4 linked regions of the Tamandua tetradactyla genome follow. The protein of the gene in region 1 interacts with the protein of each later gene in a pairwise test. Links are inferred from orthologs where the notes say so. Each region holds a gene or a part of one and is shown in the gene's direction. Other genes may lie near its edges. The genes, in order: TLE5, PARVG, U2AF2 and HNRNPF.

The links.
Region 2: the proteins of TLE5 (region 1) and PARVG interact in binary tests that used the Homo sapiens proteins (3 or more experiments, as listed by UniProt). The two-hybrid records come from large-scale screens. The link is inferred for Tamandua tetradactyla from reciprocal best matches to the Homo sapiens genes TLE5 and PARVG.
Region 3: the proteins of TLE5 (region 1) and U2AF2 interact in binary tests that used the Homo sapiens proteins (3 or more experiments, as listed by UniProt). The two-hybrid records come from large-scale screens. The link is inferred for Tamandua tetradactyla from reciprocal best matches to the Homo sapiens genes TLE5 and U2AF2.
Region 4: the proteins of TLE5 (region 1) and HNRNPF interact in binary tests that used the Homo sapiens proteins (3 or more experiments, as listed by UniProt). The two-hybrid records come from large-scale screens. The link is inferred for Tamandua tetradactyla from reciprocal best matches to the Homo sapiens genes TLE5 and HNRNPF.

Annotation. Positions count from the first base shown.
Region 1 is NC_135337.1:79,362,980-79,370,448, forward strand, and holds the start of TLE5 (TLE family member 5), read left to right. Parts: upstream 1-4,469; 5' UTR 4,470-4,539; coding exon 4,540-4,566; intron 4,567-5,440; coding exon 5,441-5,538; intron 5,539-7,469. UniProt on the Homo sapiens protein: Transcriptional corepressor. Acts as a dominant repressor towards other family members. Inhibits NF-kappa-B-regulated gene expression. May be required for the initiation and maintenance of the differentiated state.
Region 2 is NC_135333.1:38,397,568-38,404,640, forward strand, and holds the start of PARVG (gamma-parvin), read left to right. Parts: upstream 1-4,061; 5' UTR 4,062-4,191; intron 4,192-4,900; exon of another isoform or gene 4,901-5,147; intron 5,148-5,879; 5' UTR 5,880-5,895; coding exon 5,896-5,974; intron 5,975-7,073. UniProt on the Homo sapiens protein: Plays a role with ILK in promoting the cell adhesion and spreading of leukocytes.
Region 3 is NC_135342.1:4,094,992-4,102,074, reverse strand, and holds the start of U2AF2 (splicing factor U2AF 65 kDa subunit), read left to right. Parts: upstream 1-4,076; 5' UTR 4,077-5,052; coding exon 5,053-5,101; intron 5,102-7,083. Other genes in the region: CCDC106 (coiled-coil domain-containing protein 106), read left to right, coding at 204-234, 353-460, 551-727, 1,908-2,096, 2,584-2,900. UniProt on the Homo sapiens protein: Plays a role in pre-mRNA splicing and 3'-end processing. By recruiting PRPF19 and the PRP19C/Prp19 complex/NTC/Nineteen complex to the RNA polymerase II C-terminal domain (CTD), and thereby pre-mRNA, may couple transcription to splicing.
Region 4 is NC_135339.1:2,957,331-2,964,889, reverse strand, and holds the start of HNRNPF (heterogeneous nuclear ribonucleoprotein F), read left to right. Parts: upstream 1-4,555; 5' UTR 4,556-4,688; intron 4,689-4,937; exon of another isoform or gene 4,938-5,070; intron 5,071-5,300; exon of another isoform or gene 5,301-5,516; intron 5,517-7,559.

The DNA of each region.
Region 1 (7,469 bases):
ACTTAGACCCATGCCTGGCATACAGTAGGTGCTCAATAAATGCTTACCAAGGGATTCAATGAATAATAGCTCCACGATGGGGCTGAGGATGAGGGGAATGCGCCGGGTGGTAAACTCATACTGCCTGGGGTCACCTGGCCAGGTAGCAGCAGACAGGGGTCAGAGTTGGGGGGACTTGAACCCAAAGCCGACAGCTGAGGTCCAGGCCCCCACCAGGTCCTTCCTGGGCCTCATGCCACCTGTTTGCTCCCACCTCTGACTGATGACCACATAGCTCCCTCCATCCATCACAGCGGGAAAGATGGTCCCAGAGGGTGGGAGACAGCAGACAGAAGCCATGCCCACCCCCTCCCACCCCCTCCTTGGCCCTGGACCTGATGCTAAGAGCCCCAGAGGTGGACATGTGGGGGTGGGGAAGCAGGCCTGCCACCTAGGGCACTGTCCTCTCCCAAAGCCCCCAAATCACACAATCGAATCTATTTCCCCCTTAAAGAGCTTCGGCTTTGAGTGATGACAACATTTTCCTCAAGGAAGGTGGTGGTGGCAGCACCCCACTGTAAAAGAAACTGATGCCACTGAATTGGACACTTAACAACGGTTCCAGTGGCACATTTCACGTATTATAGGCGGTTCCACAATTAAAAAAAAAAAAATGACTCCCTCCAAGGTTTCAGCTTTTTACCCTTTCTCTTTCCCTCCAGGCCCATGTGGATTTTTTTGTGGTCCCCAAAATTCCTCCTTATTCTGGGCTCAGCCCAGGCCTGTCTTTTTTCCAGCCTTGGTCTCCTGGCCTCCTGCCTTCCCTTCCTCTGTTCAGGCCGCCAGCTGGAACCTTCTACACCTAGTCTGGATCAAGTCGGAACCTTCTACACCCAGCCTGGGTCAAGTCTCCCAGCTGCTGTAACTCAGTGGTTCTCAACTGGGGTGATATTATCTCCCCCAGGGGACACTTAACGAGATCTGGAGATATTTTTGGTGGTCAGGACTGGGGATGGGGATGCCCCCGGCATCTGGCAGATGGACGCCAGGGAGGCTTGCTCAACACCCTAAAAGGCCCAGGACGCTCCCCACCCCAGCTAAGAATGATCCTGCCCCAAATGTCAGCAGGGCAGAGGCTGAGGCCCCTGCTCTAAAACCCCCCATGGCTCTCCAGTACCCTCAGAGTAAAATTCCAGTTCCTTAGCCCAGGATGCGGGGCCCTGTGTGGCCCCTGACCCTCTCCAGCCAGTTTTCCCACCCACCCTGACCTGTTTTCCTGCCTCTCCCTCCCTCTGAAGGGCAGGATTTTGTAGTAGCCAAGGGCTCAAGCACCTGGGTTTAAATCCCGGCCTTGCCATCTACCAGCTGTGTGACTTTAGCCAAGTTATTTAACCTCTCTGTGCCTTGGTTTTCCCGTTTCTAAAATGGGCATGACAGCAATAACTAAGACTTAAAGGGCTTAAGAAAAAGTCTGGAATGAGCTGGGACTCAGCATCAAGGGATTGTGAAAACCTTGACCAAAAGAGGGAAGAGAGAAATGAGACAAAATAAAGTGTCAATGGCTGAGAGAGGTCATCCTGGAGGTTATTCTTACGCATTATATAGAAATCACCTTTTTAGTTAAGGTGTAATGGAGAGGCTGGAGGGAACTGCCTGAAAATGTAGAGCTGTGTTCCAGTAGCCATGTCTCTTGAAGATGATTGTATAATGATATAGCTTTCACAGTGTGACTGTGTGATTGTGAAAACCTTGTGTCTAATGCTCCTTTTATCTACCTTATCAACAGATGAGTAAAACATAAGGAATAAAAATAAAAATAAATAATAGGGGGAACAAATTGTTGAAATAAATTTAATTTAGAAGATTGAAATGCTAGTGATCAATGAAAGGGAGGGGTAAGGGGTATGGTGTGTATGAATTTTTTTCTTTTTTTTAATTTCTTTTTCTGAATTATGCAAATGTTCTAAGAAATCATCATGATGATGAATATGCAAATATGTGACGATATTGTGAGTTATTGATTATATATCAAGAATGGAATGATCGTATGGTAAGAATGTTTGTGTTTATATGTTGTTGTGTTTAAAAAATAAATTAATTAATTAAATAAAAAAGAAGAAAGCATCTGGAGCATAGTAAAACCATGTAAGTTGGGTGGTTTATTATTACTTATAGTTTGGGCCACACTTCTTGACTTATCTACACACTGGAAACTCCTTCTTCTGAAAATGACTTCCCCTTTCAAAGGCAAAACCTGGGGTCCTTCTCTGTGGCCTAGCCCCAACCCCCTGGGACTCGGGGTGTCTGTATTGGGTTCTGCCTTCCCCCGACGATGGGGGTGTTGCCTCTGTGAGGCTCAGATCCAGGGGACACCCAGAAGAAAGAGCATCTGGTTGCCATGGTGAGGGGGTGGGGACAGGAATTGGGGCAAGGCTGATTTCATGGGCCCCGAAGGGCCTCCAGTCTGGTTTACCTCCCCAATACTGCCATCTGGGTATTCTAAATACTTTTTCAAGAAGGGGACCTGTAATTTTCATTTTGCCCTAGGGGAGGCCCCCCACAAATTCCGTAGCCAAGTCTGGTTCAGGGGTTCCGTTCACTCTGTGGGTTCCGCTGATTCCAGAAACTGACAAGAATATCAAGGAACTTTACTAAAGTCTGTTTTTTTGCTTAGTGTCAGGACCGAGGACAGCTTTGCATTTGCCCAATATGCCTGGTCCTCTCATCCTAATCCTGGCCCTTTTCAGATTCTGTCTTTATGCATGATGTTGACATCTTGTTCATCTTGCGTGGATTTTTATTTTAAAAAATACCACATTAAAATATCTTTTATCTTACACGCGCACAATGGAATATTATTGTACCTTAAAAAGGAGCGCAGCTCTGATAGGTGCTATAAAGTGCGTGAACCTCGACGTCACGTTGAGTGAAAGAAGCCAGGCACAAAAGGACAAATATCATATGATCCCACTGATAGGAAATTATTTGAATATGCAAATTGCTAGAGTCAGAAATTAGAATACCCGTCTACCATGGGGTGGGAAATGGGGAGTTCATGGGGAAGGCATGGAAAAGTTTTTGAGGGGATGACGCAGCACATTATGAAGATAACACCACCGAACTGTATACTTGAAAGCGGTTGAAACAGGAGATGTTATGTTGTATTTCCATTAGCACGATAATATTTTTTTAAATAAGCACAAGAAAAAGGAACATGTATGTGCATTATCTGAACAGCTTCAGTGAGGAGACTCTCAAAACCAGGGACAGCTACCCCCTCCCCCTCCCAGGGAGCCCACTTCCCTGAGTACAAGCCTAATAATTCCTCCCCATAACCCATAAAGTCTTGCAAACGTGCTCATCACCTCCTTGTAGGGACCAGCTACATAATTTGCACATCCGAATGCAAAAGGAAGCTGCAAGGCTTTTGTTCAAAAATTATGAAGAATGTCAAGAGGCCAGGGCAGAACATAAAACCTCCCTACCCTAGTCTCTTCCTCCATTCTCCCAGCGCCAGGCCCCATCCTGCCTCAGGGCCTTTGCACTGGCTGTAACAGTTCTCTGAATCTGCTCCTCCCAGCATATCCCCATACCCCTATGGGCTCCCAGCCTCTCCTTCTTCAGGTTTGCGAGTCCCTCTCTGATCTCCCCCTATTTAAACTGTGCCCTCTCATTGCCATCTGCACCCAAGAATTTGACCAGTGTATTTGTTCTTTGTGCGCCTGTGTCACCTCCCCTCCGTGGCCTTGGCACACAGTAGGCGCTCAATAAACGCCTGCCACAGTTACCACCGACTGCTCTGACAACGACGAAGAAACTGAGGCCCACAGAGGTTGGCCGCTGGGCCAAGGTCATCGAGTCCAGGTCACGCCATTGTGGTGCCCGTGGCTAGGAGGCTGGCAGTCCGGCCCTTTCTTTGACAGGTGGGGAAACCGAGGCGCAGCAGGCGTGAGGAGCATCCCACCCCCCACCCCCAACCCCTCACCCCGGCCCGGCTGGCTGGGAGCCCAGGGCGGTGGACGCGCCGTGTCCAAGGTCACCGTGCCGGGCCGGCCCCGGGGAGGGCGGGCTGGGGGGGGGTGGGGGGGAAGTGGTGGGGTGGGGGGGAGAGGCAGGCGGGGGTGGGGATCCGCAGGCCTCCCCGGGCGCGCGCTCCCCCCCCTTCGGCGGCGCGCACGGGGCACGGGAAGCAGCAGCAGCAGCAGCAGCAGCAGCAGCAGCAGCAGCAGGTGGAGCCGGAGCCTCCGCAGCGCCGAGGCCGCGGCCGCTGCCGGCGTCGCCGCCATTAGACAATAGGAGCGGAGGCCGCGAGTGCGGGGCGGGGCGGGAGGGAGCCCGGCGCGCAGGAAGCGGGGCCCGGGGCGCGCCGGGGCCGGGCGCGCGGGGAGGGGGCGCAGGAAGCGGGCGAGGCCGGGCGCGGGAGGCGGCGGCGGCGGCGGCGGCGGCCCCGGGAGCTGCCGATCGGCGCCGGGACAAAGGCGCGGCCGCCCGGCGCCCGGAGCCGCCCGAGCCGGGGGCGCACAGCCGGGGCGCATTGCGCGCCCCCCCGCCGCGACTGACATGATGTTTCCACAAAGCAGGCATTCGGTAAGCGGGGCCCGCTCGGCCCGGCTCCCCCTTCCCCCCACCTCCATGCCTGCTCCGGGGCCCGGTTCCCTTCGGCGCTCTAGCCCTCCACCCCCCACCCCACCCCACCATCAGCTCCGGGGCCCCGCACCCCCCACCGAGCCAGGCCTTGGCCTCGGGCGCTCCGGGAGCCCCGTCGGCACCCGTGGCGCTGGAGATCGTTTTGGGGCCTGCGGGGTGGGGGGGCGGGGTGGGGGGGGGCGGGAAGGGCGAACCAAGGGGCACCCCTCCCGGAAGAACGCCGCCTCGGGAAGGGCAATGGAGCTCTGGAGTGGGTGTCCCCCCACCCCCGCCCCGGAAGATTCGGGCGCTGGGAGAGGCCCTTCCTGTAAGGAGACTTTGCAGGGAGGCCTCTCCCCCCCACCCCCCCCCAGTTCTAGCTCGAGGAGGGGACTTTCTAGGACGCGTCCTTTACCTCCCCCTCCACCAGGGGCGGTTAGGGCGCTCGGATGTGCATCCCCGCTCCCCCCCCTCCCTCCACTCCCGGGGAGCTTTGGAGGAGCTGTAGAGGGCGCACCCTGCCCCCACCAAGGGCGGGCCTTAAAACGCACCCCCACAATCGGGGGTGGCGGGGGACTAGGCGGCTGCGGGCGCACCCTACCCCTCGGCTTCCCCCGGGAGAGGCGGGGGCAGGAAGCGGGGGCAGGGGCCGCGCTGGGGGCTGTAAACACGGGCCCAGGAAGTGGGGCAGGAGCGGGGGTGGGGGCGGTTGGAGGGCGGAGGGGGCGCGCTGCAGCTGCGGCAATCGCCGCCTCCCGGCCGGCCCGCGCGGAATTGGAAGGGAGGGTGGCCGGGCCCCCTCCTGGCGGTGAACCGGGCGGCCCCCTCCCCGCAGGGCTCTTCGCACCTACCCCAGCAACTCAAATTCACCACTTCGGACTCCTGCGACCGCATCAAAGATGAGTTCCAGCTGCTGCAGGCCCAGTACCACAGGTGAGCCGCGGGCAGGGGTCCCAGGCTCTGGGTCGAGGGCGGGGGTGGGGGTGGGGGTGGAAATGTGTCTGAATCCTACTCCCCTCCCTTGTACGGAGGGCAAGAAGGAGGCCTGGAGCCGAGATCTTGGCCTCTGTTAATAGACTTATGCAAACAATGCAATCATAGTGGCTCTCATTACAGCCACCCCATTCCTACCAAGTCCTGAGTACCTTACCGATATTGATATTAATTCGTATATTTTTAAAAACTGCCTCATCTCACGGATAAGAAAAATAAGGCACGAAAAAAGTTAAAAGATATGCCTGGCCTTGCAGCTGTCTGGCTTCAGAGCCCCAATTCCACCATCCCTAATGGATAAAAGACCTCTGAACAACTGAAGTTCCGGGATAGAACCCCCTGCCCCAGTCCCCCTAAAATGCTCTCTGCCAAGATTTGGGGAGAGGGTTCCTGGTTTCCAGCAGATTCTCAAAGCTGAGTCTGTGGCCCGAATTTCATCTAACATTTCTAAAAGGCCTGCCATGTGTCAGGTCTAAGTGGATGGAGCTTTTCCTTTCTTCCCATTAGGCTTAGGAAAAATTAAACCCAGAGAGGTTAGGGGATTCCTCCAGGATGCACAGCAAGCACGAAGAAGTAGTGAAGCTGAGATTTTGAACCCAGTCTAAGAAAGCAAATTCTCAACCTCTCTGCCCTGGTGGGTGGGGACTGGTCTGGGAATCAGGAGTTCCATGGTCACAGAGCCCAGTAAGACCCTGGGCCATCTCTGGGACTTAGTTTATGCACTCATAAAAGTGATCTTTGAAAGATCCTGGATTTTTTCTAGGAAAAAGTGGGAAGGCCGATTTTTTTTAGTGCAAATATCCACCCTTTTGGGGTTGTCCCGTATGCTAAGCACTGAACATGTTCCCTCTTGTTTAGTCCACCCCACTGTGTTGCATGCTGTCCATTATAAAGATAGGGAAACTGAGGCATAGAGGGTTGAAAGCATTGGAGGGTGTGGGGGCTTTGCCTGGTAGACCTGGACATTCTGGGTCCAAAGGGGGGCAGTTTCTCCCGCCACCCTAGCCCATGCCCACCTCACCCTGAGTACCCCAGGTATAGTCCCAGTACTGTCACCTCAGGCCCGCTGGACCCCCTTCTAAGCTTTTGCATCTCCTGCTAGGCCTGGGTGACCCATGAGGGGCTTTCCCTTTTCGGGGGCACATACAGGACCTGCCAAGCAGGACCAGCCCAGTTTCACCAGATTGTCTGGCCGGTTCATCAAGAATGGCCGGAAGTCCTGAGAGTGGGGATGAAATTGCCTGAGTTGTTTTGCTTTTGTGGTTTTTTTTTTTTTTTCTGGCAACAATTGCACACTTTTAAAAGAAACTCAGAGAAAACCAACTTTAGCGGGGGCCAAAGAAACTCCAACCTTGGGCATGTTCACATCGCGGGCCATGTCACGGTGTAAAATACCGGTGTCCCGAGGTGGTGAGAAGATGAAGCTGCGTTAATTGAGCGCTTACTGTGTGCCAGGCACTGTTCAAAGAGGTCTCCTCGTCTTAATTCACTTTAATCCTGCAAACCATCTTGGGAGGTCGGTACTTTGCAGATGAGTAAATGGAGGCTCAGTGAGGGAGGAAAATTTGTCCAGGGTCACACTGCAAGGAATTGGCAGGGTGAGTTTTGAACCCGGGCCCTGTGGCTGGGGAGCCTGTGCTTTGAACCACTCTCTGTCTCTTGTACAACCAGGGGTGACAAAGGTAGACCCTGCATACCCCTTGCTGGATCAGATTTAATGGAGTAAAGGAAAGAGGCTCGCCACCCCCTCCCCCCCCACCCCACCCCTGGGCCTTTTCTCAGCTGATTGACATCATTGCTAACTCTCTCCTTCCTGCTCCGAGGCCCTTGTGGGGGAAATACCCACAGCTTATCTTTGCTGGGGGAGCCAG
Region 2 (7,073 bases), on another chromosome or scaffold:
TTTATTTCTCTGGTTTCCATGCTTGCTGTGGTAGACTGCCTGCCATAATCCTCTTCCTGTAGCTATTAGGTCATTCTTTCCCATACCAACTCTTAGACTGGCCATGTGATTTTCTTTGGCCAAGGGAACAATAGCAAATGTGAAACAAGCAGAGATTTGCAAAGTGCTTGTGTACTAGGGCTTGCCATCCCTTATTGTGCTGGAACCATTGTGTAAATGAGCCCAAGCTAGCCTATTGGAAATGTGAGGCCGCACAGTCAACAATCAGCCAGACCCTGATGGGCAGTTGCTGGACACATGAGGGAGTCCATTCTAGATAACTGGTTAGCAGCTGACCGTAGATGCATGAGAGAGCCCAGTAGAGATCACCCAAGTTGTTCCATATCAGAAGACTTGCCCAACCTGACCCACAGAATCATAGGCTAAATAAAACAATGGTCGTTTTATGCTACTAAGTTTTGGGATGACTTGTTATGCAGCAACCACGAACTGATACACCCACCTTGCTTCAGGTGAATGGGTACTGCCCTTGACCTTTACCACTCTGGATGACATCAATGCCGTTGCCATCAGGCAGCCCTTTTCAGCGTCAGCATCTTCCAACGTCATTCCTGAGCTCCAGTGCTTTTCAGTGAATCCTCCAAGACTTGGAAAGGGACTGTGCTTTGGCTTTTCTCATGGGACATGGTTAACATGACAGAGACACTCAAATGTCCTTCTACATTATACCAAGGTATGGCTGCCATCCTATTTTCATTCAATGCAGGCCACTGCTGATTCCATGTTCAGCAAATGATTCTAGAAAGCAATTTAGAATCCTGTCTAGCTACTCTTGCTAGTGTCCCTGAATCTAGACTCTCCAGTATGTGCATTTCTATTAATAACTGCATCTGGATCTAAAAATATATCACTTCTTTCCTGGCCCAGGACCATTATTATACATCCCCCATACATTTATTTGCTGATAAATGAGCATAGTTGTGCAATTTTTAAAAGTACATAAGCCCCCTCCTCTCAGGTTTGACTTTGTACTTATTCTCCCAGGACGGACTAGAATTGACTGCAATTATTGATATGGAGACAGTGTGGGGTACAGTGGTAGTGACAGTGAGGTCACTACGGCATTTCTTAGCAAGGAAATGTCTTTGCCATCAGACACAGGAAGTCAGGTTGCTGTGACTGCAAGGATTCTTTCTGGGGTTTGGGAAAGAATCAGACTATTTCAGTTCTTGGGGTCCCTCCCTTTCACTTCGGAAACATGGGGAGGCTGTGTTGGAATTCCCACCGGGCTCCCATGCTGTATCTGATTCCAGCTTGATCAGTCCTGCAGCTACAAGAGAAAGGAGATTCTTTGGAGGCAGTGCTATCTTAGGAATGCCCTCTTACTCTGAACATACCTTGAACCAGGAGTTTAAAACCCTGAGGATGTCTTATTCCTTTCTTTTTTTTTTTTTTTTATTTCTGGTGTGATGAGAAGGTGCCAGCTGACCCCACAATCCTTGAATAACGCAGGCTTATCATACTCTATAGAGAAGCCACAAGTCAGTCTGCCAAATCTGGGGCTTTAATAGGTGTTTAATTCTGGGTGATTACAGGTAATTGTTTTGCCGCTGTATATAGAACACTGTATGATCTACTATAATTTTGCTACCTAATGGTAATTACTGGATCCTCACTGTTTTTAAAGCAACCAGAACAAGTAACCCATCCCAGATTCCCATCCTTAAGGATATACTGCCTGCAAGTATTTCTGGTAACAAATCCTACATTGGTGGGGATTTGGTTGCAGATAACTGGAACTGTTTTAGTTGTTTAAACAGAAAGGACCTTAATGTGGGAAATGAGATGGTCACGGTGCCATTGGGGGCTGCAGGAGGGGCTGGGGCTGAGGCTGCAGGAACAGGTCGTCGAATGATCTGGCAGAGCTGGCCCTAGAAGGGGCCAAGAAGCTGCTGCACTGACCACCAGCTCCAGAATTATAACTTCTGGGCCAAATATCTTCCGTTTGCCTCCTCAGATCCACCGTTTCCTGTCCTGACCTCTGTGGACTGCATCAATGGGCTTTCTTGCTTCTGGCTTCCAGCTGGATTTGGCTAGCCAGAGTCCCTGGCCGGAGAGAGGAGTGTGGGAGGAGAGTGAGGCCGGGGAATTCCTTGTCTCTGCCTCTGCCCCACCAGGTCACCACGGGTTAGCCATGCCCCCCTATCAGAGGACCCAGCTCCCATCTGGTGGCCCCCTTCTTAGACCTTCACTAATTTCCTTTCGGGGTTTTGGTATTCACTCCTTCCTTTGCTTCTCACGGCTCTGAGTTGTAACAGCTCCCCTGTGTTGTGAGTTTTGGGGTGCAGTGCCATCACTTCTGGGTTCCTTTCACCCTCCCCAAACAATCCCTATATGAGCACTCTTCAATTACAGCTTTGAGTGAGCCGCCTCTTGTTTCCAGCACCCTGATTGATGCACCCAGGCTTTCCAAGCTGTCCCTGGAACCAGTGGCTCCAAAGCCATCTGCACCCTCTCTGCCCATACCAGCAAAACGGATGTCCCAAGCACATCTGCTTCTCTCCCTACCCTGGCACAAATCCCTGAGTCACACAGGTGCATCTGATGGTGGAGACAAAATCAGGTGTCTCAGTTTCTTTGTCTGTCATGTGGGAATGGTAACAGTACTGACCTTCCAGTTTAAAGGTCCAGCTTAAAATTAAAGTACTGAAAGGGCGCACGGGTGGTTCAGTGGTAGAATGCTTGCCTTCCATGTGGGAGATCCAGGTTCGATTCCTGGACCACACACCACCACCACCAAAATGAAAGCACTTAAAATAATTTGTTTCATAGCAAGCTACTTGATAAATATTGGCAATAACACCAGTAGTGATTTTTGACATTTTTAATAACTTCTCATACACAACCCCACCTTGCTCTCACACAACCTTGTTCCCTCCTGCTACCTAATCTGGCCCCTTCTTCTGACCGATCTGTCAGCAGAGTGCTTCCTGGTCACTCAGCACTATCACCTGTTGGTATGGAACTCATAATTTCGGTCTGATTCATGGAGATTTGTGCCCTCGTGACCAGCTCAGGTCTGAAGTGTTCTCTGTCTATCTTACTCTCCTGGTATCTGTCTTTCCTTAAGCTCCTCCAGGACTTTGCCCAGGCTCTTCTGTCTACCTCGAACGTGCTCACTCTTCTTCACCTGGCAAACTCCTATGTGGTCATCAAGGCCCACTCCGAAAAGCCCTCCTGATCCCCTAGGCAATAACAGCTGTCACTTTGTGTGGGGATTCCTCTAGGCGCTGGGACACAACAGTGAGCAAGTGAGATGTGGGCCCTGCCTTCATGGAGCATATGTTCTGATGGGGAAGATGGGTACTATATGTCAGCTAACTGAACTAGCTAAACTAACATAAACAGCACAGGTGTAAGTGCCATGAAGAGAACCTTCAGGAACTGTGGTAAAGGATCACAGGGAGGACCAACTTTAGATAAGGCAGTTTGGGAGGGCTTCCTGAAGGAGGAGGCATTTAAACTGATGCTAAGGACGTGCATCCAGCCATGCTAAGAGCTGGGGCAGGGGCATCTAGACAATGGGAGCAGGAAGGGAACTGGTACTTTCCAGGAACAGAAAAGAGATGGGCAGGGCTGGGAGGGTGTGAGGGTGGGAGAAGTTAGGAGGGGAGGGTGGAAATGAAGCCAGTGGGCCAAATTGGGGCTTATGGGCTAGAATGGGCCAATGGGGCTTTATTTTAAGTGCTTTGGCTATTGGTAGAGAAAATCTCCAAGTGGGAGATGCAGTGGTAAGCAGAGCTGGTGGCAGGGGGTCCTGTGTGGAGGTTTCCGCATGATCCAAGGGAGAGGGATAGGGGCCTGGGCTGGGTGGTGGAGAAGCATGCACTGGCCAGGATGTAAGGTGGCGCAGAATTTTCTGGAAGTCTGTGGTGGCATCCCTGTCGAAGCATCCTCTCCCCCAGTGTTGTGCCACACGGAGGAGGAAGCTCCCCAGGGCCAGCCCTGCAAAGCCACCCACAGGCCCCAGGAGGAAGTGAGCGGCCGCCCCGCCCCCTGGCCTGCCCGCCTCCTGCAGCCCCCGGGGTACCTGGGAACCCGGAACCTGCTTTCATTTGGAAACCCAGACCCTGGGACCACCATCTGAGCTACGGCAGCCAAGTCATTTCCTCTGGGGGAGGAAGCAGCCAAGTGAGTCCTGGCATCTGGGCCCCCCCGTGGGCATCCCCCACCTGCCGTGATGCTGGGTATCAGTGCTCCCTGGGGGAGGGTCCAAGACTCCAGGTGGAAACAGGCCAGAGAGCAGAGCAGCACCCCGAACCCCTGGTTCCCTCCCACCACCCCGAGCAGAGAGGCTGCTCACTCCTCCCCACCTCCCCACTGACGGACGAGGGACCCAACCCGACAGGTAGAAGGACACAGTCCTACCCCACGGCACAGCCAGGTGACCATTGTCCCACTCCACGATATTGTCTCTGAGTTTTCTGCAACTCGTGGGAAGAAAGGTCTCCCCGGTCTTCAGATAGAGACACTGGGGCCAGGAGCAGGGAAGGGATTGCACGGAACTGTGGTTGCTGGGCAGTCCCCAGCTCTGTTTCTACTCTGTGTCAGGACCAGAGAGGGGAGGGGGGTTATGCAAAGACACACAGCCAGGTTCCAGCTGGCCTGGAACCCAAACCCCTAAGCTCCAGGCCACAGCGCTGCTACTTCTCTGGTCATGTCCATCGAGCCAGAACCCTGGTGTCCAACAGGAGGCTTGAGGATTGAGGGGGCAGGGCTCAGCCTCAGCAGCCATGTTCTCCACACTCTTCCCTTCAGAGCAAGATGGAGCCATAGGTGGTCCCCAGGCCTCCAGGGGGCTGCAACTGCTGGAAGGAGGCTTTGACCCCCAGCTTCTGCTATGTGAACCTCCCTCCCCCAACTCTAAAGGCCTGTGTGGGCTTGTCATGCTGGGAAAGACCCAGCAGCTGAAGAGAAGGAGGGGGAGCAGAGCCTTCTGCAGAGCAGGCAAAACCACTCCCAGGAGAGGAAGTGGCAGGGGACAGGAAAGAGGTCTGGGGCTGGTTTCTGCATCTGCTGCGCTCCCCGGCATGGGGCAATCTCAGCACTCCCACGGTGAGGCTACAGAGAGGAACTGGGCCCACTCTGTAAGTGTCGGCTGTTCCCATCTGTTCCAAAAGACTGGGAATTCTACCCCCCACTTTAGAGACAAGGATTGAGAACCTCCTGCAGGAGACCCAGAACTGGGGGACCTGGCCAGGGCCTGGCCTCCCTCTGAGATCCCAGCCTGCATGGGTGGTGGGTGATGACTACTCACCAGAGGCTGCAATGGCCCCTGCACGGGCCAGTCTGGGCTCAGGGGCCAGAGTGACCCTTCCCAGTCCCTGCTCCCAGGAGCTCACAATCTGGCCGATGCCGTGGATCAGTGTTTTCATCTCAGCCAGCCCTGCATAAGCTGGCCCCAGATTTCTCCCTTGAGCTCAGCCCAAGGGTTTTCTGAATCCTGGGCTCTGAGGAGTGGGCTGACTGCCTGGGATGGGTATAGGAGGGTGAGTTTCTGGGCAGTGCAGTTGCTGCAGGAGAATGCTGGACAAGGGCAGCTTTGTACCCACTGGGTGGTGGGGGAGGGTAGTGCATTTCCCTGCTAAGCCTTTGCTCAGGCTGCCCCCTGCCCCAGCCTGCCTGCCTTTCTCTACCGGGTCATGCTACACGGTTCGGCTCAGTGCCTCCTTCTCACCAGGCAGCCCTGGTCCCTTGCCTGGGTGAGCCCAGTGACTTATCACCCCTCTCTGTGTGTCTCTAGATTTGGAGCAAATAAGCAAACAGTGTGAGTTGGGGTTTCTGGGACAATGATACCTTCTGTCCCCTGCATCCTCCAGGGCAGGCAAGGAGGAGATGGAACCAGACCCCCTCTACCACCTGCTGCAGCTCCCTAAAGGTGTGGCTCCGCCAGCAGAGAAGGAACTCCTACAAGGTGCGGTGCCCAGGCTGGGCCACGGGGCAGGGTCAGCGTCCCAATAGCCAAACAGACCTCTTGGAATAACTGCCTTCCCAGTAGTCTGCTGAACACACACACCTGTTCACCCCCTGCCTACTCCTCTTGCTTCATACTTCGCCAGCTTCCCTGACTCCAGAACCTTCCGTGGTTATCTCCACGTCTCTCCTAAGCTCACATCCCCGGCTTAGGGGTGGTGCTGGAGCTGCTGCTGAGAATAGCTGAATCGTTCAGCATGCCTACTTGTATGCAGCAGATCATGGGGGTGACAAGGGGTGTTGATATCACCATCCTTTTACAGATGAGGAAACTGAGCCACTGAGAGTAATATCCAAGGAGTGTGGCTCCAGGATTCAGGTCCCACCACTACCGTGTGGTATTGACTTCCCGAGACAGCTGGCATCTTGCAGCGGTGGTGGGTCCATCAGTCTCCTCCCTTTGCAAGTGAGGGTCTCTTTAAAAGTGGAGTGGGCATAGGGTCGGAGCAATTCAATGAATGGGGGCTGCTCTTTCAGCGAATTTCTGTTTTACGAGCTCGTTCAGGGAGTTTGTGGTCACTGCCGTTGGAATTGCTCTCCTGAGAGATGATTCAGAACAAGTAAAGGGTCAAGAACCCAAAGCTGTTGATCATGTTGTCATAATCTAGAAACAAACATGCAACTGCACAACCAGATCAGAAGCAATGCAAATGGCCCAGTGGGGAGGAGGGTGTTGAAATGAACTCACTAGAATTTTAAGCAACCATTCAAGCAATATGTCGATGAAGAAAAAGTGTAAAATAATTTTAAGTGAAAATAGCAGAATGCAAAATTATCCATGTCCTCTGAATGTAGCCCTTTTCAACCGGCTTTGTGGGCTCAGAACCCCAGTGCCAAGTGGGGCTCCCGGGAGCGGTGGGTGAAAGCTCCCTCTGTGAGTGGAGAAGCAGGGCAAAGTCCACGATGGGCTGGGTTCCCGCCTGCTTATACGTGGTTTAAGATTGGAAAGCATTGCAAGGAAGGTTGCTGAGTTAAAGTGCTAGGCTTAGTTATTTGAACAATGTTCTTTTCTGTATTTTATAGTTGATTTAGAGACACAT
Region 3 (7,083 bases), on another chromosome or scaffold:
CCAGACATTTCGCGTTCCAGCCCCTCTTCCCTCCACGCGCCCGAGTCCAGGAGTTCCCATTTCAGTCCTCGAGAGTCCGGGCCCCCCCCCCGCCCCCCCAGGGTGGACCCTGCGAGCCCATCCTCGCCCCTCTACCCATGGCTGCCGTTTCTGTGCAGTGCCCCTGAGGCGCTCCGCTGCCCGGGTCTGCCCCCAGCCGCGCCATGAGTGATCGGAACAGCCGGAGGAGGACAAGTGAGGAACTGGGGCCCCCTCCCGACCCTTGGTCCCAAGGCCCACCCTTCCCCCCAGGGTAGTGCGGTTGGGGGCTGGACCGCAGATTTCCCTGGGTGACCCCGGCTTCTCCTCTCAGTGAAGAAGGACGATGAAGCCTTGGAGATCTCCATCCCCTTCGACGAGACGCCCCACCTAGACCCGCAGATCTTCTACAGGCTGAGCCCATCTCGAGGAAACTTCGAGGGTGAGCTAGGGCCGGGCGCGCAGGGCCTCGAGCCGGTGGCACACCAGGCCGAGAGGCCTGGGGTGTGATGCCGCCGCCCCGTGTTCCCAGAGCCTCCGGAGGCGGCGTCCCCCACCCTGGCCCGGATGCACGGAGTCAAGGCCCAGCTGCACTTGGCCCTGGAGAGGAACTCGTGGCTGCAGAAGCGCATCGAGGACCTGGAGGAAGAGAGGGACTTCCTGCGATGCCAGCTGGACAAGTTCATCTCCTCAGCCCGCATGGATGCAGGTGGGCAGGGGGCTGTGACCAGGGAAGCTCCACTGAATCGGACCCCTCTGCCACCCACCCTCCTCAGGGATAGAGGCGTGAAGCCCCCCTCCTGGGTTGGGTGCATCATGTCTCCTGGTAGCCAAAGCTCTCCAACCCTGTTTGCCCTGGCGGCCCTTTCCACTGTTCCAAGTCTCCTATCCCTGTCAGCCCCCGCAAATCTTGCCCACCCTGACTTCTGTGCCCTCAGGCACTCCTCTGCTGGGGTTCCCTGGGCACTTCCACTTCGCAAAGACCTGGAGTCCAGACCTCCAGCGTCTTCCCATGCCCAGCTTGATGGTCCCGACTGTCCCCTCCCCTTGGCTAATTAAAGCTCCTTTCCTACTAAAGACCCTAGATCCCTTCCTGGCCTACTCACCCTTCCCTAGTGGAGCCTCAGGTCTTACTTGACGTGTGTGTGTGTGTCAGCATCTGTTATCCCTCCAGACCCTGCCCAGCTTCTCAGCACACCCCCTTCTGTTGCCTGGTTCTATTTCATAGCCAGGAGCTCTGGGGTGAGCTCCTAGAGCTGGCCCACCCCGCAGCTGGCCCTCCCTGAGGCTGAGCCCCCTGGCTGCCTGTCTTCTCGTGGGCCAGGTCCTCTGGTGTCCTTGGGTCACCAGCTCCTACTGTCCTCAGGAACAGCTGAGGGTATCCCAGCTAGTGCAGCCCAAGGGTGTCGGACTTTCTCTGGGGACCCCGGCTGGCTCCCTGTCTTAAAAGCAGTGGCCTTTCCTAGCCAGTCAGACACAGGGGCCTGTGATTGCCAAGGCCTTGCCTGCCCCAGGGGCTCCACTCTTCTGGAGGGACTGCTAGGGTCCCCAGAAGACCCCCTCTCTACTATGGGAACCACCTGTGGCCACAGCCCTGCCTTGTCAGGTAGTCCTTACCCAGAGGCCTCGGACACCCGAACTCTTCCCCTCGCAAGCCTCTTGCAGTTGTCCACTGAGGCACTGGCCAGCTTTAGGGGCCCTGCTGAGCCTCTACAGCCCGGGTGCCTTGGAGATGATGCTGGCCCTTGCAGGAGACCCTCATTTCGGGAAGTCCAGCCTCTTCCCTTCCTGGGACCCAGAGTTTCCCACGGGAAAGGTGGCGAGGCCTCGTGCCTTCTCTTCCCTCCCCCTCCCGCAGCTCACGTGTCTCCCTCCTCCTGTCCTCCCAGAGGACCACTGCAGGGGGAAGCCGGGGCCCCGGCGGGCTGAGGGCGAGGCGTCCGAGCCCGAGTCCGCGGGCTCGTCGCTGAGCGCAGGGTCTGAGGAAGGCAGCTCCAGCGAGAGGAAGAGGCAGAGGCAGAGGGGAGGTGCCACTCGGAGGCGGTTCGGGAAGCCCAAAGCTCGGGAGAGACAGCGAGGTAGGTGGGGCTGGGGTGGGGCCGTGGGCACCTGCACAGTGACCTTCGCAGAGGCCCTTCCCGGCAGGCCGCCGTGTCCCCCCCGTGAAGAGATCAGTCCTGGGGTACCTGCCAGCTTTGACGGCTTGTCATGACGGAGCCGAGAGCTGGGGGGAGGCTCTGCTCTGCTCTCTTCCTCCGCACTCCGGAGCCTTCCTTCTTCAGTTCCCCATGGTTCCACTTCGGTGTCTTGTCTCCTTCTCCTCTAATTCTTCCATCTTTTTATCCTCCTGCTTTCCATCTTGTTCACCTGCCCTTTCCTGTATGGGGCCCCTCGTCCCTGCTTCTCCCCTCCTGGATCCTCCTTCTCTGACTTCGTTCCTTTCTTCTGCACGCACCCTTCACGCCCCCCGCCTTTCTCCACCGCATCTCGGAACCCCGTCTGCACCTGTGTACCTCTATGTCTCCGGCCCCTACAGCTCTGACTCTCTGCCCCCCGCCCCCGCAGTGAAAGACGCCGACGGTGTCCTCTGCCGCTACAAGAAGATCCTGGGCACCTTCCAGAAGCTGAAGAGCATGTCGCGGGCCTTCGAACACCACCGTGTGGACCGCAACACCGTGGCGCTGACCACGCCCATCGCCGAGCTGCTCATCGTGGCGCCCGAGAAGCTGGCCGAGGTGGGCGAGTTCGACCCCTCCAAGGAGCGGCTGCTCGAGTACTCCCGCCGCTGCTTCCTGGCCCTGGACGACGAGACGCTCAAGAAGGTGCAAGCGCTAAAGAAGAGCAAGCTGCTGCTTCCCATCACCTACCGCTTCAAGCGGTGATGCCCCCGCTCAGCCTGGCCGGGTTCCACACGGCTACTCTCGCAGCCCCTCCAGCCCTGTCCCCTCCTCCAGCCTCCCCAGCACCCGGGCCGCGACGGGAGAGGCGCACCTCTCTCCTCCGCCTCTGCAGCCCCTCCCGCCCCAGGTGCTCGCGTACACAGGTCTTCCCCTCCTAGCACCCGCCTTTCTCTCTTTCTCTGGGCTGGGGTCTCACTCAGCCAGACTCTGAAGAGCTTACTGCCCAGAGGGCTTGTTTCTGCCCTTCCCTAAGCACTGGTGTCCCTCTCCAAAAAGAAAGTCTTTGCACTTGCGCTGCACTCATCCTGCCCTCGCCGGGCACCTTTCCTCCTGGGAAAACTGGGAGGCGCGCTCTGGGAGTGCCACCTTCTCTCCTAGCGTCTGGAGGGCCTGTATGTACCCGTCTCCACCCCCATCCGCGAGAGAGGCTGGCCGGACCCCTCCCCGGCCGGGAGCTCCCTACGCATCTTCCGGACCACCCTAATTCCCTGTGAGAAAGAGAATTATTCAGAGAATTTAAATTAAAGAGAGACGACAAAATTTGGAATAAACCAGGCCCTAGCCTCTTCCTAAGAGGGGGTGGCTGTTGCCACGGAAACGCTGACGGGGGCTCAGGGGGTTCCAGGGAGCGGGCGGTCGGGCGGGAAACGGGGAGATGCGGGAAGACAGGCTGTAATTAGACCCCCGGAGGCAGAGGCGGGAGGGGAAGGAGCAGCTGTGCCCCCAGGAACTCCGAGGGGGCAGAGCTCCGGAGAACAGGCGTGAACCCTAGCCTCCGTGCCATTTGGAAGTAGAGGCGCCGCGGCAGGAGGCGGGACGCAATGACCTCTAGTCCAAGAGGCCACCGGGGACTAGGGACTCTTTGGGAGGACGCTTCCGCACGCCCGCAAGGCGGCGATAGCGCCAGGTTAGCCTTCTCCCGGAAGTGGGCGCTTCGCTGCCTCCTGCGCCTGCGCACCCGGGATGGAGCGCGCTTACGCAGTTGCTAGGGCAACCAGGGGAAAGCGGCCGGGCTTAACGGTTGGGAATTGGGGACCTTTTCGCGCACCCGCGCAGAAGGTTCTAGGCATCCGTCTCCCTACCCAGGCAGAGAAAATCTCGCCTCCGACCGACCTCTACGCAGGCGCACAAACCGAACTCGCGCCCCGCCCCTTCCGCCCCGCGCAGGCGCAAAAAACCGCGCTGACAACTCCGCAGCGGCCGCGCGCACCCTTCATCTCGCTGCCTGCTTTTGTCTCGCGCAACCTTTTCGGCCCATCCGCGAGATCGTTCCTTCTTTTCTTCTGTTCTCCCCACCCGGAGAGCCAGGTGTGGAGAAGTGGGATTCCGCCCCTTATCGCGTCCTTTCCCTTGACCCACCTCTCCTCCGTCCTCCCTCCCTGATCAGTTTCCGAAGCTGGAAGGAGCCGAAGCGCCGACGGAAAAAGCCGAAGCTGTTCATCGCCAGTGAGGTCTTCCCGAAACGGCCGCGGAAGGAGCCGAAATTCTCCGAGAAGGGAGGAGGGTGCGAGTGGAATTTCCGGAAAGAGCCGAAGCTTGGAATTGCGCGTAATCGCTGGCGGAGCCCGAAGACGAGCGCCGGGAACCTTCGGAAAGTGCCGAAGTCTGGGACGGTTAGGATTGTCGGAAGTAGCCGATTCTTTCCAGAGGGCAGGCGCAGACCGGGGGTATCTGCGGAAGGAACCAAAGATTGGGACAGTTTGAATTGTCGCAAGAAGCCGAACCCTTAGAGGAGGCTGAGAGTGGAGGAACGTGAGGTCCTACGGAAAGACCCGAACGTTGAAGACCTAATCTCAAAAGTTACGGGAGCCTGGGAAGCCGGCAAAGCCCTCGCTTCGGGGGTTTTCGGAGGCAGCCGAAGCCGCCACTTTCCGACCCCTTCCTCTGCTGTCCGGAAACAGCCGACGCATTTCCGAGCGAGGCTTAGGGGGCGGGGCAGTTCGCGGGTTGGCGGGCGGGGACAAGGGCGGAGCCGGGGCGGGGCGGGGCGGGGTTCCGGGTGCTTGATTAGGTAGGAGACAGCGAAGCGCCGGCGGTGGCCGGAAGTAGCCGAAGCAAGCGGCGGAAGTAGCCGAAGCGGGCGGGCAGCAAGGCGAGGCGAGAGCAGCACAGGCCCCGACGCGGCCGCCTCAGCATGTCGGACTTCGATGAGTTCGAGCGGCAGCTCAACGAGAATAAGCAAGGTGAGGGCGTTGGGGTCATGGGGCGACGGTCGGGGCGGCTCTCCACTTCCCTCCCTGGCCCCCGCCATTTTCTCCCTCCTTCCCCACCTCCTCCGAGTGCCGCGCGGTAACCCCCCCCCCCGCCTCCGCTCAGCGGCGCGCGCCTCGCCCACGTGACCTTTCTCTACGTTCCGCCGCGCGCGCGGCGAGACGAGGGGCGGCGGGCGCGGACCCGTGACGCATGCGCGCCGCTGCGTCTATTCCCTCGCCCCACGTGGCCCTGGGCGGAGGCAGTGCGAGGGACTGGGGCGCAAGCTAGCGAAGTGTCTTGAAGCGACTACTCTTTCCCGTAAAGGAGTTGATATTAGGGCCCGTAATCTCTTCTTTTTCTTCCCGCTGCCCTAGCACTTCCGCTTCCGGTTGGGTCCGCTTCTCAGTCTCCACGCCCCCTTTGTTTCCAAAATGGCGTCTGTGCGCTCTTCCCCCCCCCCCTTCACGTGGGCCCTATGCGTTAGGCCCTTCGCCCGGCTGCGTGGAGGCCGCGCGGCTCTGTCTCACTCCTTTTGCATGATTTCTGGTTAAATTTGCCTGTCAGGGTGTTTTTACCCTCCTCCCGCCATTGGTCGTGGGGCGCTTATTTGACCCCTGCTCCTTCGTGTAAGTACCCCTCTCGCAAGTACATTTACACACGTGGGGACTTCTGGCAGTTCTGGCAGTACCAACATGGAGTGTTTATCTTCCATCCTTTCCCCACTTGAGAGAAGCCCCAAATCCTGTTGTGCCCCTACGCTAAGAGTACCCAGCCTCGGCCTCTTGTATCTTAGCACAGAGGTAAGGAGACAGGTTCTGGGTAAGAGTGACCTGGCCTAGGTGGGTAGAATTGGGAAGGGTGGGACAAAGGTGCCCTTCAGGTGGCGCCGAGGCTTGTGACGGTTAGAACAAAGTACGGGGCTGTGCTGGTGCTGGTGCTGGTCAGGTTAGGAAATTCAAGTATATTAGACTTTGGGGGAGTTGGTAGGTGACTTCTTGTACTTCCTGTCTCCCTAGTTTGGTTTAAGATTGAAGACTTAGGGAAGACTGAGGTTTTGGTTCTCTTGGTGCTTGAGGCTTGAGTTGCCCATGTCTCTAGTTGGAGCCTTTTCTCCTTCAGTTCTTCAGAGGACTGGACTGTATGAGGGTTCAGGAATTCTCGTTTGAGCCTAGGCTGGACTTGGATGGGTGATGGCTGGGTTAGGATCTAGTGCCTGGGGAAGGGAATAACGTTTACTGAGTATTCACGGTATTTATATTTCATACTGCTTAAAAGTACAGGCTGTGGAGTTAAGTACACACCTGGGTTCAAATACGTGCTTGGCTGTTTAGTAGCTGTGCTACTTTAATACTTTTGTACTTGACTGACCATCGTCATTCTACTGTCATAGGGACTTCGAGAACATTAATACGAGTGGTAGTAATAATAGTTGTGGTTAAACTCAGTGCTTACCATGTGCCACACACTTTTTTAACGCTCTTTGTATGGTTCTTCTAAGTGCATCCTTGTAAGGGCTCTGTGAAGCAGAGATTTCCTTCCTTTTGTAGAGGATATGGAGGCTCAGAAAACTTAGACTTTACCAGATCTTAGGTGGTCAAAGATGGCTGAGATTAAACGGGTTAACATAGGTAGTTTGGTGTGTGCCTTGGCATATGCTAAGTGCCCAATGGATGACATTTGTTATTGTGAAATCATGGCCAGCACAAGCTTCTACTTAGGCAGATCTCAGCCTACTCCGGGATTGGGTCAGAGGTGGAGAAGCACGGGGAAAGGTGCTTTCCAAATGCTATCCGGCCAAGTCCTGACCCTTCCTCAAGAAGTGCAGACTAGGTCTTTCCGCTGTGTGCTTCTGTGTGGTTGGTGAGCAGAAAACGTGATGTGATGTTGAGCTCTGACTGGCTACAGGGCCATGTATCCATTCTGCTGTGCATGACCGTGAAGTGGTGCTGCCTGAGTTGTTCCTTGAGACTCT
Region 4 (7,559 bases), on another chromosome or scaffold:
AATAACTAGAATATGCAAATTCATAGAGGCAGAAGACAGAGTAAAGGGGACCAGGGGCAGGGGGCGGGAAATAGGGGGTTCTTGCTTCATAGGTGAAGAGTTTCTGTGGGGGTGACGGAAGAGATTTGGTAATGAATGGTAGTGATGGTAGCACATTGTAAAGGAATTTAACACCGCTGAACTGTACACTTGAAGGTGGTTAAAAAGGGAAATGTTATGCTGTATATATGGTGCCAAAATAAAAAGACTTTTAAAGTGGTATAATTGTATTACAGTAAGTGCTTTTTAAAGAGTTGAAGCAGTGAAGAGCACTGATTCATCTGCAATTTTTTTTTGGTTCCAAAACAATAAAATATGGCAAAACGTCAATATCTTACATTTGTTACAATATTATTACTAATTTCCCATGTGTTTAAGCATTTCATAATTTTTTAAAATTTGAAGTTACTGCAAGAGAGACAGAAGCAGAGAGGGAATAAGAACCTGCAAGCTACTTTCTCCTCCCCACCCCAGGGCCCACTAACACATCTTGAACAGAATGAAGTTTTCTAACTGTCCTGGGCCTCCTCACCCAGCAGAGGTGGAAGCACTGCACTGTATGTAGTTCTTAGTGGGAAAACTTATGCCTCAGCGTGGACACAGAGCCAGAACTTGGCTCCCTAATGTACCTGTTAGGGCTGCAGTAGCCAGCCCGGCCAGTTGGGGAAGTGGGCAGAGGAAGACAGGCATTCCACCCCCCCACCCCTACCCAGTCTACCTGCAGTCTGTTGCCGACCAAAGAAAGTGATTCACATAAATAACCAACCATCAAGCTTAGGAAATGCCATTACCCCTTTTCCACTATTTAAGATATGTTAATGTGCTGCTCCGCCTTCATGCTGACTCCCTGTATGGGCACATGCGCTCCTTCAGAAGTCCCTTTTTTCTGTAAGGGTCAAGAAAACTAACCAGATAAGACTGACTGCTGTATCTGCCTGCTTCTGAGCTGGGAAAAAAGTGCTGAATTGAGGCAAAACCCTGAAAATGGATTACAATTGCCAGTTCCACAGGTTACATTTCCCCCCAAAGCGTCTTAGGTTCACCTCTGGTCTTTTCCCTCCTCTGCCTAATAAACCACCTTGTCTCAAGGAAAATGCTACATTTGGACAGACAGGGCCTATACTGTGGCTGGACTGTTCAATTTGTTTTCTCACTTCCTACACTCTCTCCTCTTGGATGGGAAAGAGAAGCAGAGAAGGGGGTTGGGAGCCACCCTTAAAGACCTAGTTCTCCTCGGATCTAGAATGCAGCAGTTAAGAGCAGACCTTGAAACCAAACTGCCTCATTCGATGCCCAGAACTACCACCTACAAGCTGAAAGACCTAAGGCAAATGACTGGAACGACTCTACCTCAGTTTTCCTCCAGTGACTAGGAATGCTGATAATAATATCTACGCTTGGTTGGTGTAAGACTCAAATGAGATGAACTATTTACATAGTTCATTTACAGAGAAGGTGCAAAATATGTTAGCTATTGTCATGATTGCTATTTAACAGATACTGTGATTTTGAGCAAATGACTTCTCTGAGCCTTGGTGATTCCTCCCTACCTATTAGCACTGTTCTAGGGAAGGGGCTCAAAGCTTAATGAGTAAAGCGATTTTTCAAGTGCTTGAAAACTATAAGACACCATACTCTCCAAACCTCTGCACCATTTGTTATGGGTAAGTTGATTCCAGACTTGGCCAGTGCTTCAGAATCAGGAGCAGCTTATTTTTAATTTTTAAAAAATATATTTTTGAGAAATCTTCACATACATAGTCCATATATGGTGTACAATCAATGGCTTACGAGTTCATCACATAGTTGTGTATTCACCACCATGATCAGTTTTAGAACATCTGCATCACTCCAGAAAAAGAAATAAAAAGAAAAAACTCATACATACCAAACCCCTCCCTCTTATTGACCCCTTATCCCCCCTATTATTTATTTTGTATCCATATTTTTTTACTCATCTGTCCACACCCTGGATAAAAGGAGCAAGATTTTCACAATCACACATCACATTGTAAAACCTGTATCGTTATAAACTGTCTTCAAGAATCAAGGCTACCAGAACACAGTTCAACAGTTTCACGTATTTCCTCCAGCCACTTCATTCCACTATAAACTAAAAAGGGATATCTACACAATATGCAATAACCTCCAGGCTAACCTCTTGACTGTGTTCGAAAACTCTCAGTCACTTTAGTTTCATTTCTCTCTTCCTTTCTTTTGCTCAAGAAAGCCTTCTCAATCCCTTGATGCCGGGTCCTGGCAAAAGGAACTTATTTTTAAAAACTCAAAAAAAATAAATAAAATAAAACACATTGAAAAGTATTAAATTTAACATACTGATCTATTTACAAAAACAAAATGATATAAATGTAGACAGAAGGACCAATCTGTAAGAGAATATACCTTGGCATAATCTACGTTTGTGGTGAAGTCTTTTTTTTTTAATTCTTTTTAATTTTTTTTAAATACCAAAAAACACATAACAAATGCAAACATTCCTATTTTGATCATTTCGTTCTACATATATAATCACTAATTCACAAATTCATCACATAGTTGCATATTCATCATTATGATCACTTCTTGGAACTTTTGCATCTATTCAGAAAAAGAAATAAAACAAAAACAAAAAAATTTATACATATGTGGTGAGTTTTTACAGAATATTTTTATTGACAAATTTTCACACAGTCCAAACACAGTGTACAATGTAGGGCTCACCGTGTCATCACATACCTGTGCACACATTTGTGGTGAATTGTTCTTAAAGCAAAGGTCTTACAGGTCCATCTCTGGGCAGGGACTCTCCAGAACCAAAAACAGGTCCCTCTTCAGATCCCAGAGCTTAGGGGAGACACCTCTGAGCACACAGCCCACCAGGACCAGAAGTGAAGACAGGTCAGCAGCCTGCTCGATTCCCACAGCAACGGAGGTGGTCCAGGATGACTGGACGCGACCAGCCTGGACACGGTGGGAAGGCTCTGCCGCAGGGCCTGACCCCCCACCCCCGGAGGAGGAAGGCCCCGCCCCCACCCCCGGAGGCGGAAGGCCCCGCCTCCACCCCACCCCCACCCCCGGGGAGGAGGAAGGCCCCACCCCCACCCCGGGAGGAGGAAGGCCCCGCCCCCACCCCGGAGGAGGAGGAGGAAGGCCCCGCCCCCACCCCCACCCCCGGAGGAGGAAGGCCCCGCCCCCACCCCACCCCCACCCCCGGAGGAGGAAGGCCCCGCCCCCACCCCACCCCGGAGGAGGAAGGCCCCGCCCCCACCCCACCCCCACCCCCGGAGGAGGAAGGCCCCGCCCCCACCCCGGAGGAGGAGGAAGGCCCTCCTGGGCCTCGGGGGCACCTGTGCGACGCTCCGCTCTGAAAAGGCACACTAGTGAACACCTGGGACGGCTCCCTAGGGCCAGGCGGAAGTGGTGAACAGGCCAAGGACCCGGCCCTCCACCTCGGGAAGCCCTGAGACTACGGGGTCAGACTCAGGGTGGCCTCAGACCGCAGGGAGGGCCGACGCCCACACCCCGCGGGGAGCGCGGGGCCAAACCTCCCCGGGCGAGGCCTCGCAGTGCCGAACGCAGCGATGTTTCTGGACAGTTTAAACATCCACCTTTCCAGATAGAGACTTCTCTGGAAAATAAGGTGTGGGATTCTTAGGAATACCTGGTTTTTGGAAGACCTGTTTTCTGTAATTTTGCCTCAATTTACTACATTCTCTCCTTGCACGTCTGCGCCCCCCGACAGCTCCTACTTCTCCTCTTCCCTGGAAGCGGCCTCTTTTGACAAACCGCTTTCTTCATGAAGGGGCGCCCCATGCACTGACGACTCCGAGCACGGCTTGTGTTCGGACTCTGATACTCTCCTGTCTAACCTGCCACAAGCGCCTCGGTACCTTACGAGGAGGTAAACAAAACCCGGCAATGCTTACGAGCCCTGAAACAACAGACACCGAGGCCAAAGGCCGCCGTGCATCCGCTCAGGGACCCGGCGCTGGAGCCCCGCAAGGCCCTTCTGAGTCACGTCCTGAGGCTTTGGCGCCTCTCGGCCCGCGTGACGAGGAAGCGGCCAACGTGCGTCAACCTGACTACACGTTCCAAAAACCTCGGGCTAAAGGGTCTCTTTCCTCCATTTCCTTCTCATCCGAAAACGACCCACTACCTCCTCGCAAGCCCGCGGGAGCACTCGGTTGGCTTTTAGCCGAGATTCCGGGCCTTTGCTCACAAGGCTGAGGCGGGGTCACGGGGTCTCTTCCCGCCGCGCCCTTCCCCCCACGCTAGGCCCAGCTCCCCGCGCCCGCGCAACTCCCAGAAGGCGCCGCGACCAAGCAGCTCCCAAGAGGCCCCGCGGCTGAAGAGCAGGGGGGTTCGCGTCGCTGGCGGTGGGGGCTCTAGGCCAGGGCGGAGCCAAGGATCGTCGTCATGCCATTGGGCAAGAGCCCCGGGTCCTGCCGCTCGTTGCCGGCTTAGGCACCGCCTCAAGCCGTGCTGACCAATCCCGGGCCCGGCCTCCGCTGCGTCACAATAGCGCCCTCGCGGCCCCGCCTCCAGGTCCAACCATCTAGGCCCCGCCCCGGGATCCGCCCCGTCGTGGTCTTCGGCCTTCCGGCTCCTGGGAAGAAGTAGGACTGCGCCGCGTCTCACAGGAGAAGCAGGTGAGGCTCGAGAAGGGGCGCCGACCTGCCGTCACACGGGCACTCGGCAGCAGGGCAGGGGTGTGGCAGGGCGGGGCTGCTGCTCCCAGGGGCGTAAGTTGACGCTGCGCCGAGCAGGCCGAGCTGGACCGGGACGCCGAGCAGAGGAGGACTTTCCGGAAGCGCCGGCCGCGCTCGGCGGGCGGGAGTTGGGGACGCGCGCGCCGCCCGAAGGCCCCGCCCCTCAGAGGCCCCGCCCCGGGCGCGCTGCCAGGTGGGGGGGTTTCCATGGTGACGATAAACAAGCCTCAACTGCCTCGGCTACAACTGCCAAGTCCAGCACGTTCCAGCCTCCTCTCGGTGCGGACGTGAAGAGCGGGAGCGTGGAGACTCGGAGCCCGCGGTGAGGGGCGGCCGAGGGCCGCAAGCCCGGGGCCGAGCGGGGTCTGCGAGGAGTAGGGTGGGGCCTGCGGGGCTGGGGCCCAGTGGGAGGCGGAGCGTGAGGGCGAGGGCCGCCAGCTGGGGGCCGGCGGGGCCTGGGGACCGGGGGTGGGGCCTGCGGAGCCGGGCGGGGGAAGAGGCGGGCCTGCAGGCCGCGCTCAGGTCGGGCGGGGCGCGCACCCGGAAGGAAGCGCGCCGGCCTCAGCCCTTCTCAGCGTCGCGCCAGCCGGCTCCTTCGGTCGTGGGCTCGGGCTCCTGGCGTAGCTGAGTGCCTGGGCCTGGTGTGCAGAGAAGGGACCGCCGACCTCCCGCGCCCCAGGGCCCTCCCTCGCCCTGCTCCCTCGAGGTCTGCCTCCCCTGGCAGTTTAGCCCGAGCGTCCCCGTCGTGCGGTGTCCGCTGCTCCAGAGGTACCGTGTTTGAGGGACTGGGGACGGAAATCGTTTGTTCGTGTAATGCTGTGCCTCGTGACCCCATTGCTGCCGGGCGGTCTCCCGGGGCTCTGGTTACCTCTCCTTTCCGTTTCCTTGCTGGTGGTTCTGGGTCGGTTTTTACTCGTTCCTTCTCTAGAAAAGTTCCGGGCCCGGGGTCAGAACAGTGTGGGAGGGACCGCCGGGTTCATAGCGGCCCGGAGGTGGCGACCCGGGAGTTATAATCCTGGGACAGTGCCGCCCAGGGAGTGACGGCTGGGGTCAGAGCGGCTTGGGGGTTACAGTCGCGGAGAGTGCGACCTCGGATGGCGGCCGGGGCGGCCCCACGCAGTCGCCCCCTCCCTCCTGAGGGGTTCTGGCCTAGATTTCCGCCCTCGGAGGGTCCGGGTGGGAATTGACGGATTCTTCCTCCTTGAAGTCCGCGGCTTAAATTGGGGGCTCCGGAAGGGCCCGGGTCCCCGGCGCGCTGGGAGCCCGCGTGCGTCCGCGGTGGGGTGGGGGATGCGTGTCTCGTGGCCTCCCCGCGGGGGCGCCCAGGGCGGAGGGCTTCCTCGGAGCGTGCCTCGCGGCCGCCTGGCGCAGCAACGTGCTCGCCCGGCACCACGAGGGTGCAGGACGCGCTTCCGGCCGGGGTCGTCAGCCCGCCATGGCGGGAGGCAACCGCCGGGCGGCCACGTGTCCGGGCGGGCTGCGTACTGGAGGGTTGGGAGGCCGCGGGGCGTCGTAGCCAACTCGGTAAGACTACTTTTGGGACAGTTTTATAAAAGTAAACTGTATCTGAGTTCCTATTAGAAGTTTGCTTTCATTCTTAATTTCTGCATACCAAGATATTTTCATTTTAAAGTAAAATGAGTTTCTACTTTTTTTTTTTTTGGCCTTTAAGAAGGGGAATTTGTTAAGTTGCAAGTTTGCATGTTCTAAGGACATGAAAGCGTCCAAATTAAAGGAAGGCTATAGAAATATCCAATCTAAGGCATCCATGAATTTCTACTCTTAATATTGTGAGAGATTGTTGCATTACAGACGGGCGTGAAGGAAGTCTATCCTTCGCCTTTGAGGTCTTAATGGTCCCGTACGCATTTTGTAAACTGTTTAGCTTTATCATTTACATGTTATGCTTTCCTTTTTAGTTATGATTGGTTTGTTAATGACTTTATTTTTGGTTATTCTTTTAAACTGGTAAGCGGCTCTCCTTTTCACTTAATTATAGTGTTGCAAAGCTTTCTTTTAAAAATATGTAGGTAAAAATGCGAATTTTTATAAGGGTAGCAAATAATCATAGGATGTGGCAGCACCGTGGAGATCTGGGTTAGTGCCTGGAGGGGCTGTGGAAATGAGAGGGGTCGTTTAGTCATAAATATTTCAGTTTCTATTTTTAACGACTCGTAAAACAACCCATAATACCACTCCCACACCTTACTAATAACTACTTGATATCACATATGAGTGTTGAGATGTCCCTGATTGTACAATATAGCAAATAAACAACTAGTTGATAAGAGGTGGAATCCAGACAGGGCCACCTTGCCATTAAGATATGTTGTGAAACTTCTGTATTTTTGCTAATGTGATAAATCTATCTCGTTTTTAAAATTTTTCATTGATTTTTTATGAGGTTAAGTGTCTTTATGCAGTTCTCATAAACATGAAAAAATTTAGTTAAATCATTTTGTCTCCGTTAATCTGTTAAATGTGACAAATTGCAGCAATCGACTTAAGTATTTTTATTGAGAAATAAGCAGTTAATTTTTAGATAATCAGCTGCACTTGCATTCTTGGAATAAATCCTGGTTGATTATGATATATTATGGCTTTTTGTGTTGTAGGATTTGGTTTGCTAATGTTTAGGATTTTTGCATCTGGGTTCATGGTTGAAATTAGCCTTAAAATTGAATAAACAATTCTAACCAATTCCATTTGATTATAGATCTAAATGTAAAAACAAAACATTCGTTAAGAAAATGTTTGCATGGCTTCAGGCTAGGAAACGCTCTTAAATAGCATGTGAAAAGCATGCTGTTG